Linked DNA regions of Saccharomyces cerevisiae S288C. The main gene of each other region encodes a partner of the protein of the gene in region 3 in a complex. Each region holds a gene or a part of one and is shown on either strand. Other genes may lie near its edges. A codon is read from its position in the direction of its gene.

Region 1 (2,921 bases), on a different chromosome or scaffold from region 3:
TTGCCTTTGGCTATTCCATGGAATATTATTTTCATTTGAGACATCATAAAGGTGCGGAAGAGCATTGAACGTGGAGTTTTACTTTTGTAGAAAATTCTTTATTTTAAGCCTTTTTAAACCAAACATGCAAAGAGAAGAAAAACTTTTTGGTAAATCCAAATAATTTTTGAGCGAAATTGAAAGGAGTACATAAGTGATAGAACAAAATTTCGTTGTTTTCATATGTCTATAAGGAAACTCCGTCACTTTCTGGCTCTATTCATTTTTTCTTTAGTAAAGCATAAAAATAATGAGACGGAGAGTAAACTTTACAATATATATTCATAAAAATTCATTAAAATAAAACTGTTCGATCCTATTCGATATACACACACACATATATATATATATGTATATAGATATGGGTGTGTTTGTGTGTATCCGTGCTAAACTCGCAAATGCAACTTTATGTCAAACCAACTTGCTCATTCCTACATATTAATCCATTAGAGGAGATAAGTCTATATTTTTTGTTCACTGATATACATGACCTGCGTGCCCCTCAAAAAGACATCACTATTGAACTTATTTAGAAGCTTATTGTTATTACTCTCGTAGTGTTCAGTGGCACTCGATAGTGCAACATTCATAAAACCATCAATGGATTCCAATCTTCCGCTGTAGAGTAAACCCGAGGCAAGTTTGACGTTCACTGTCTTACCAATGATATCAGAGAGAAACTCCGTAGTAACGCTACCCTCTGTAGAAGCTTTTCCGGACATCACTAATAATCTCTGCTTGTTTTGCTTATACTGTGCAATGCCATATTTTCTCGTTAATATGGCGTCTTGTGCATTATTGAATGGGTTGCTGCGACGTTGCTTATTTGGCATTGTACACGAACAGCTGCCCCCGGGTAAAATGTTTTAATAATAGAAATATCTTACATTAAACGGCTAAAAGAAAGGCCTATAGTCGTAATAACATTTATTTCCTACACATAACCCAGTTAATTAGCCACAGTGATATTCGATTTATGCCGCTTCAATTGTGCTTAAATCGTTGCATCGCTTCAGTAACTTTTAATTGTAATGATAATGCACGTCAATTTAGTTTCCCATTCGGGTAAACAGTATCAGGTCGAGATATGAAAATTGGCATTCCTTGGAGAATGTTAGCCAGAAGATCGATCAGTCGACTCCCCTATTGATTAACATTTCATCTTTGCATACTTGGCGTTTCTAATCCTTATCTTTTATTACCAAGAGTTCATTGTACTTTTAATAAAGTGAAATATAACGTAGCATCTCAAGAGCAAGGAGATTTTGATGAAAAAAATATGTCAGCTGACCCTATTAATGACCAATCGTCTTTATGTGTGAGGTGCAATAAATCAATCGCGTCTAGCCAGGTATACGAATTAGAAAGCAAAAAATGGCATGACCAGTGCTTTACATGCTACAAATGTGACAAAAAATTGAACGCAGATTCAGACTTTTTGGTTCTGGATATAGGTACATTAATTTGTTACGACTGCTCAGATAAATGTACAAATTGTGGCGATAAAATAGACGACACAGCAATTATACTGCCTTCCTCAAATGAGGCCTATTGTTCCAATTGTTTCAGATGCTGTCGGTGCAGCAACCGTATAAAGAACTTAAAGTATGCAAAGACAAAACGAGGACTATGTTGTATGGATTGTCACGAGAAATTGTTGAGAAAAAAACAACTATTACTGGAAAATCAAACAAAAAATTCATCGAAAGAAGATTTTCCCATAAAACTTCCTGAAAGATCAGTCAAAAGGCCCTTGTCACCCACCAGAATAAATGGTAAGTCAGATGTCAGTACAAACAACACCGCAATAAGTAAGAACCTTGTAAGCTCGAATGAGGATCAACAGCTCACTCCACAAGTTTTAGTATCACAAGAAAGAGATGAATCATCGTTGAATGACAATAATGATAATGATAACAGCAAGGACAGGGAGGAAACATCTTCTCACGCAAGGACGGTTTCTATTGACGACATTCTGAACTCTACTTTGGAACACGATAGTAATAGCATTGAAGAGCAGAGTTTGGTGGATAATGAGGACTACATCAACAAAATGGGTGAAGACGTAACCTATAGGCTATTAAAACCACAAAGAGCAAATCGAGATTCCATAGTGGTAAAGGATCCGAGGATCCCAAATTCGAACTCGAACGCGAATAGATTCTTTTCAATTTATGATAAAGAAGAGACAGACAAAGATGATACAGACAACAAAGAGAATGAAATCATCGTCAACACACCCAGAAATAGCACTGATAAAATTACAAGTCCTTTGAACAGCCCTATGGCTGTACAAATGAACGAAGAGGTCGAACCTCCGCATGGACTGGCATTAACTTTATCAGAAGCTACGAAAGAAAATAACAAATCATCTCAAGGTATTCAAACGTCAACTTCCAAATCTATGAATCATGTCTCCCCGATTACAAGAACCGATACCGTAGAAATGAAAACATCAACCTCTTCATCGACATTACGTTTGTCTGATAATGGAAGTTTCAGCAGGCCTCAAACAGCAGATAACTTATTGCCGCATAAAAAAGTAGCACCCTCTCCAAACAAAAAACTTTCAAGATCGTTTTCTTTGAAGTCCAAAAATTTTGTTCACAACCTGAAAAGTAAAACTTCGGAAATGCTGGACCCAAAGCATCCCCATCACAGCACTTCTATACAGGAATCAGACACTCATTCTGGCTGGGGTGTTTCCTCTACTCATACAAATATAAGAAAATCAAAAGCCAAAAAAAATCCTGTATCAAGAGGCCAAAGTGACAGTACAATATACAATACTCTACCACAACATGGAAATTTTACAGTACCGGAGTTTAATCACAAAAAAGCGCAAAGCAGCCTTGGCAGTATATCCAAAAAGCAAAATTCTA
Region 2 (3,076 bases), on a different chromosome or scaffold from region 3:
TGCCGCGTTTATTACAAACTATAGAATTATCGCAGCAATGGTACGTGTCTGTTCCTGCAAGCGTTAATTCGATTGATAGATAAAGTAATTCATTAACCTTTGCGAATATGCTCTTTACTGTTAGGTTTCAGGATTTTAAAAATGAAGCAACTTTACTAACATCAATATGCAAATAAATCTGCAAAAACTTTTTTTCACAGGGCTAACTTGCGTACTCAAAAGAGACTTGCCGCTTCTGTTGTCGGTGTTGGTAAGAGAAAGGTTTGGTTAGACCCAAACGAAACTTCTGAAATTGCCCAAGCCAACTCTAGAAATGCCATTAGAAAATTGGTCAAGAACGGAACCATCGTCAAGAAGGCCGTTACTGTCCACTCTAAATCTAGAACTAGAGCCCATGCTCAATCCAAGAGAGAAGGTCGTCACAGTGGTTACGGTAAGAGAAAGGGTACTAGAGAAGCTCGTTTACCATCCCAAGTCGTCTGGATCAGAAGATTACGTGTCTTGAGAAGATTATTGGCCAAGTACCGTGACGCTGGTAAGATTGACAAGCATTTGTACCACGTTTTGTACAAGGAATCCAAGGGTAACGCCTTCAAGCACAAGAGAGCTTTGGTTGAACACATTATTCAAGCTAAGGCTGATGCTCAACGTGAAAAGGCTTTGAACGAAGAAGCTGAAGCTAGAAGATTGAAGAACAGAGCTGCTCGTGACAGAAGAGCTCAAAGAGTTGCTGAAAAGAGAGACGCTTTGCTAAAGGAAGACGCTTAATTGATTACAAATAATTAGCTAAGAAATTACGTACCTTCTCATTGTTCTATATATGTTTTATTTTCTCTAAAATGTACCAAATACAATAATAGTTTCAAAGGAGCAGAGAAAGAAACTAAGGTGAAGGAGACTGTTCGTAGAATAAATGAATATTGATTAAAATTTTCTGAAAAAAAGAGTAATGAAGTCGTAGTCATCGCTAATGTACCGTAAGTGAGTTCTGAAAGGAGGCGGGTTCTTGTTTCAACGTAGCTTGTCTAGTCCTTTATGGCATCGTGTAAAATTGGTATATATTCAGAACACCCAGGAGTGAATTGATTTGCTGCTATAGGGGGAAATAAGATGTAACGATATTTTTTGTACTGAATTTCTTTGATGATACTGCCAGGATTGAGAGTTTGGTTGCCACATGTACGCTTAGGACACTCATGACTATCACTCCTGTGTATCGCTTCCATGTCGTATACCCACTGGCCGATTCTCACCCTCTGCATTGTATGATATTACTAGTATTGCTTGTTTCAGGGGCAAGAATTTTCACTAATACACTACCAGTTTATGATAGCTTATCTACATCCTTTTACTGCAAAATTATTCTGGATTTGCAAAATTATTCTGGATTTGCAAAAGTTCGGCTTCACTATCAAAGCGAAAGGTGACCTTTTTATCGTACCTTTAAGAAAGATAGGCATAAACAATACTGTGTGGCAGGAAAAGATTTGATGAAGACCAAAAACAGCATCGAAGTGCTTTGCTACGATTTCTTTTTTTACTCTCCGGTTATTTTGAGCTATCTTGTCATTATATCTTTAAATTTATATATTTCTTTGCCCAGCTTTTAAGCGTTCACTGGAATTGCCCATATGTTCACTAAATATAAAACTGATTATTCTCTCCTCTATATTGTCATCTCGGCAGAAAAGCTACTTTTAAATAAGTTTTAAACACCAGTTTTCTGCAATGATAAAAATAGCTACTTTGGATAGAGGCTGAGGCCTAACTAGTTGGAAGAAACTACTTAGGGATCCTTTGTACGGGAAACTTTTTTCCGCTGTTGTAATTGTATCATTGTCGTTGTTCATTTTTCAAATCCAGGCAATGAGGAAGTTTTGAACCAAAAAAAATAAAACCGAAAACAGAGCAACTTTAATTATAGTACGGCATATAAGGAAAACAAATCCAGAATTCAATAAAAGAATACAATACTTTCGAACACATATCTCACGCTGATAACACCCTAGCAAGTATGCTTTTCTTCTCCTTTTTCAAGACTTTAGTTGACCAAGAAGTGGTCGTAGAGGTATGTTCATAATGATTTACATCGGAATTCCCTTTGATACAAGAAAACTAACGGGTATCGTACATCAATTTTTGAAAAAAGTCAAGTACTAACGTTTGTTTACCCCTGTTTATTGTGTTTCCACTCAGTTAAAAAACGACATTGAAATAAAAGGTACACTACAATCAGTTGACCAATTTTTGAATCTGAAACTAGACAACATATCATGCACAGATGAAAAAAAATATCCACACTTGGGTTCCGTAAGGAATATTTTTATAAGAGGTTCAACAGTCAGGTACGTTTACTTGAATAAGAACATGGTAGATACGAATTTGCTACAAGACGCTACCAGAAGGGAGGTAATGACTGAAAGAAAATAAGAATTATGCAGTCTATCCTCATGGCATTTTTTCTCATTAGTTTTTTACACGAGTATCATTTTAGGATATTGAGATTATATGTATATGTATATATGTAGGCCATAAGATGATTCAACGGTTTGTATTAATTATCCGGTTCCGAGCGTTAGGAGAAATAACTTGGTGTGATATCTGTCAAGTGGTCATCCAAAATTTTTTTGGCCAGAGCGTAAGCTACGTAGACTGATGAGGAATTCTTTTTTTTTGCCCCATTTTATCCCAAGAAATTCATTATGAGGTTTTGTTTTGTTTTACTAAATGCGCTTGATGGAAAAGCGAATGTCATGAAATGCAGATCAACACTCCAATAAAAAAGTAAATGTTTTTAAAGAAGTATATCACGCTACAAAAATTCATAAGCACTATATTTCGAACGTTAACCTAAATCTCTCCCACTAAGAAAATGGATAGAAATGTATATGAAGCCTGCAGCAATATAATTAAGGAATTTGGAACACATGTAGTGAGCGCCGATGAAGTACTCGCAGAAAAAATAGATAATGCTGTTCCTATACCGTTCAAAACAAGGGAGGAGATAGATGCCGACGTGGAAAAAGATAGAAACGAAGGAGTTTTCGAAGGTAATATCATTCCTGATATCGACCTA
Region 3 (2,990 bases):
ATGACTCCGTATTGAAACGCATCCACATACTTGCTCATCGAGGTTGCGTCTTGGAACCTGTCGGACAATGAGGCATACCTGCTCAATTTCTGTGGGTCCAGAACTTCTTTCTGGAAAAGCGAAGTGGCCTCTTCATAACGATGAGGGTCTGGCTGCTTACCTTGCAGGCCTGGAATCGTCTCCCAGTGCTGCAAGGAGTCGTGCTCCTTGGACCGTTGCACGGCAAATAAGATCATCGACGTAAATATCAACTTGTCGTGCTGATAAGCACTAACCTGCTTATGGATGAAATTTCTACCGTTTCTCAGATTCTGCACATGGTACGTGATCTTGGTCCGCGGATCACCACCCTTGATGAAATACGAATGTAGCGATGTGGGGAAGAAGTTCAATGGCACAGTATGCAATGACGCCAGCAGCGATTGTGATACCAGCGTTCCACCAAAAGTGCCCTTAGACCCTACGGGCGCGGCAGGCAGATACTTTGTGACAAAACTGGTAGGCGAAAGAGGAACCAGTTCCAATATTTTCTCTAGGTTGGACATGGCCATTTTGGAAGCACTCATTTTTATGCAATCTTGTCTTATCTTGTCTTGCTCATGGTGGATACTGAATTGAAACCCTTTTCTGGTTTATATCCAACTGGCGTGGTTTTTCATTGTAGGATGAGGCTCGGTGTTTATGCCGTCTCTTCCGAGGATGCAATCAAAGGCTCTCTCCTTTGTTGGGGTAGTAGCAAGTCCAATAAGCAACGCTTGTTTGTTGATTGGGCCGATTTACATAGCCTATACACTGCTGTTACATATGCCTGTGTAGAATGAAAAAGCAGGACGCCCGTTTCACAGCTCAGATTCCAGAGTGTCGGGTCTTAGTTCCTCCCAGGGAATAATGGTCCTGGCCGCACGCTTCAGCCGATGGCTAGCGTCATCATTGTCTTCGCTATTGTGGTTTTGGCTGGTGGATAGGGTTGGGGAGCTGGATCTTCTGCGTTTCATGGACCTTGTGACCATCATTCTTGGTGGCGGCACGGACTTCTTACGCTGCTTATCGTGGGCTTCGTCCATATCGTGCAGGAGTGTGGTGCCATTCAGAGACACATCCGGGCGATCGTAGGCGTGATCTGCCTTTTCTCGAAACGCCATCTCTAGAGCAGTCTGGCGGGTTTGTAGACTGTGCATGTCTTTGGATAGAGACAGGAGCACTTTATGCACGTCCTCCAGTTGGCTGCCGACGTTGAAGAGCATCTCCTGGGTGCACCTCATCGACTTTTCCGTCTCATGCTGCTTGTTAGTTACGTGTCGCGTTATCTTGGAATTATACCTGCTTATTTCTTCGACTAATACCTGCCTGTAGCTGGAATCCGACTTTGTCTTCTTCTCGTCGCCTTTCGATAACATTGCTGTTGACACTTTGTCCAGTTGGTTTTCAATCTGGGAAGCCAAATCCTTTATTAAGGTTTTCACGTTTCCTATACTACAGTTGTTAGTAAATGTGTTTTGGAAGAAAATGAATAAAAAACTTGAGGGTATGCACTGTGTTGGTACGAACCGTTCGTAGCAGCATCTTGTTCCAGTAGCTGGTTAAACTTGTTTAGCGATTTACATAATGTCTTAGAATTTTCATTTAAAACTTTAATTAGCTTGTCAGAGTTTTCCCTCAGCTCCATACTCTCCAATTCCAGTTTACCTGCCCATTCCAGTATCTGCTTGTCCGATTCCTCTAAAGCGCCTGCATTCGCTACTTTCCCACTGTGGGAGAATATAGATCTGAACGGTGATGATGTTTCTGTAATCATCAACGAGTGTTCAGAATTAGCCTCTGAAACATCTGTAGATATCTCGTCTGTTCTACCTCTAGCGACCATTTTACTAAATGTTTCTACACGTCTGCAGTATCCTTGTTTTGCTTGTTTTCCTTCTTTCTGTTCTTGTTGATTTTCCCTTTAAGTCCTGAAAATACTATCATGGCGTAAAGGGAAAAAAAAAAACTAATCTTACGTGGTTCTTATAAGATGGACCAGCAAGCTGCATACAGTACACCATACAAGAAGAACACACTATCGTGCACCATGTCAGCCACCTTGAAAGACTACTTAAATAAAAGAGTTGTTATAATCAAAGTTGACGGCGAATGCCTCATAGCAAGCCTAAACGGCTTCGACAAAAATACTAATCTATTCATAACCAATGTTTTCAACCGCATAAGCAAGGAATTCATCTGCAAGGCACAGTTACTTCGAGGCAGCGAGATTGCTCTTGTTGGCCTCATAGATGCAGAAAATGATGACAGTCTAGCTCCTATAGACGAAAAGAAGGTCCCAATGCTAAAGGACACCAAGAATAAAATCGAAAATGAGCATGTAATATGGGAAAAAGTGTACGAATCAAAGACAAAATAATATAGTTGCAATAATAGTAATAATAATAATAATAATAATAATAATAATAATAATAATAATAATAATACCATGTATAGAAGTATATAAATCATACAATAAATTTAAGCATTAACCCGTCACGGACTGGCCATCTTCAGATGCTTCTTCTCTTCGCCAATGCCACAGTCGGGAGGAATCCCCATTTGGTACATCTTTATGGCCAGCTCCATCAAATAATCGATGGCTTCGTTGAAAATTTTGGCCTTATCGATTGTCGGACCCCAAACAAAAATGCCATGTCTCCTCACAATTACGGCGCATGTGTCTGGATAATCTTTAAAAGTCTTGTGCAAGTCATCGATCAACTCGTCCTCATGCGCCATGTTTTCAATGATGGGAATCTTCAGCGTATCAAAAAACGATAGCGCCATGGGTTTCTTGGTCACAGGGTCCACCTTTCCGCTTGGAATTGCTTTGATTTGTTCGATGTTAGCAATCCTGAACTCATCGCCAAATAGCAAGGAGCATATCACAGCATTTTGGGAGTGTGTATGTATTATAGCACCTGCATTTTTCTTTTGGTAGCACGCTAAGAACAATGGAGTACATGCGC

What was found.
Region 1: LSM8 (region 3) and LSM6 share a complex: the UniProt entries of both Saccharomyces cerevisiae proteins name them as parts of the spliceosome U4/U6-U5 tri-snRNP complex.
Region 2: the proteins of LSM8 (region 3) and LSM2 are in contact, whole or in part, in a crystal structure (PDB 4M78), measured with the Saccharomyces cerevisiae proteins. Residues at the interface, in NP_012556.2 of Saccharomyces cerevisiae: Met1 (codon at 2,069), Ser2 (codon at 2,072), Ala3 (codon at 2,075), Thr4 (codon at 2,078), Leu5 (codon at 2,081), Asp7 (codon at 2,087), Tyr8 (codon at 2,090), Ile16 (codon at 2,114), Val18 (codon at 2,120), Asp19 (codon at 2,123), Gly20 (codon at 2,126), Lys32 (codon at 2,162), Asn33 (codon at 2,165), Thr34 (codon at 2,168), Arg44 (codon at 2,198), Gly58 (codon at 2,240), Ser59 (codon at 2,243), Glu60 (codon at 2,246), Ile61 (codon at 2,249), Ala62 (codon at 2,252), Leu63 (codon at 2,255), Val64 (codon at 2,258), Gly65 (codon at 2,261), Leu66 (codon at 2,264), Ile67 (codon at 2,267); in NP_009527.1 of Saccharomyces cerevisiae: Phe4 (codon at 2,024), Lys8 (codon at 2,036), Val11 (codon at 2,045), Leu19 (codon at 2,197), Asn21 (codon at 2,203), Ile23 (codon at 2,209), Ile25 (codon at 2,215), Ser31 (codon at 2,233), Val32 (codon at 2,236), Asp33 (codon at 2,239), Phe35 (codon at 2,245), Lys39 (codon at 2,257), His53 (codon at 2,299), Leu54 (codon at 2,302), Gly55 (codon at 2,305), Ser56 (codon at 2,308), Val57 (codon at 2,311), Arg58 (codon at 2,314), Asn59 (codon at 2,317), Ile60 (codon at 2,320), Phe61 (codon at 2,323), Ile62 (codon at 2,326), Arg63 (codon at 2,329), Thr66 (codon at 2,338).

The regions. Positions count from the first base shown.
Region 1 is NC_001136.10:1,228,849-1,231,769, forward strand, and holds LSM6 (U4/U6-U5 snRNP complex subunit LSM6), read right to left. Parts: upstream 762-2,921; coding exon 501-761; downstream 1-500. Other genes in the region: ATP17 (F1F0 ATP synthase subunit f), read left to right, coding at 1-68; GTPase-activating protein RGA2, read left to right, coding at 1,319-2,921. UniProt on the Saccharomyces cerevisiae protein: Component of LSm protein complexes, which are involved in RNA processing and may function in a chaperone-like manner. Component of the cytoplasmic LSM1-LSM7 complex which is involved in mRNA degradation by activating the decapping step.
Region 2 is NC_001134.8:168,609-171,684, forward strand, and holds LSM2 (Sm-like protein LSM2), read left to right. Parts: upstream 1-2,014; coding exon 2,015-2,068; intron 2,069-2,196; coding exon 2,197-2,430; downstream 2,431-3,076. Other genes in the region: 60S ribosomal protein eL19 RPL19B, read left to right, coding at 201-768; RRN10 (Rrn10p), read left to right, coding at 2,873-3,076. UniProt on the Saccharomyces cerevisiae protein: Component of LSm protein complexes, which are involved in RNA processing and may function in a chaperone-like manner. Component of the cytoplasmic LSM1-LSM7 complex which is involved in mRNA degradation by activating the decapping step.
Region 3 is NC_001142.9:467,716-470,705, forward strand, and holds LSM8 (U4/U6-U5 snRNP complex subunit LSM8), read left to right. Parts: upstream 1-2,068; coding exon 2,069-2,398; downstream 2,399-2,990. Other genes in the region: TES1 (palmitoyl-CoA hydrolase), read right to left, coding at 1-566; REC107 (Rec107p), read right to left, coding at 840-1,468, 1,549-1,864; methylthioribulose 1-phosphate dehydratase MDE1, read right to left, coding at 2,515-2,990. UniProt on the Saccharomyces cerevisiae protein: Component of the nuclear LSM2-LSM8 complex, which is involved in spliceosome assembly. The LSM2-LSM8 complex plays a role in the biogenesis of the spliceosomal U4/U6-U5 tri-snRNP complex by accelerating PRP24-mediated annealing of U4/U6 di-snRNA.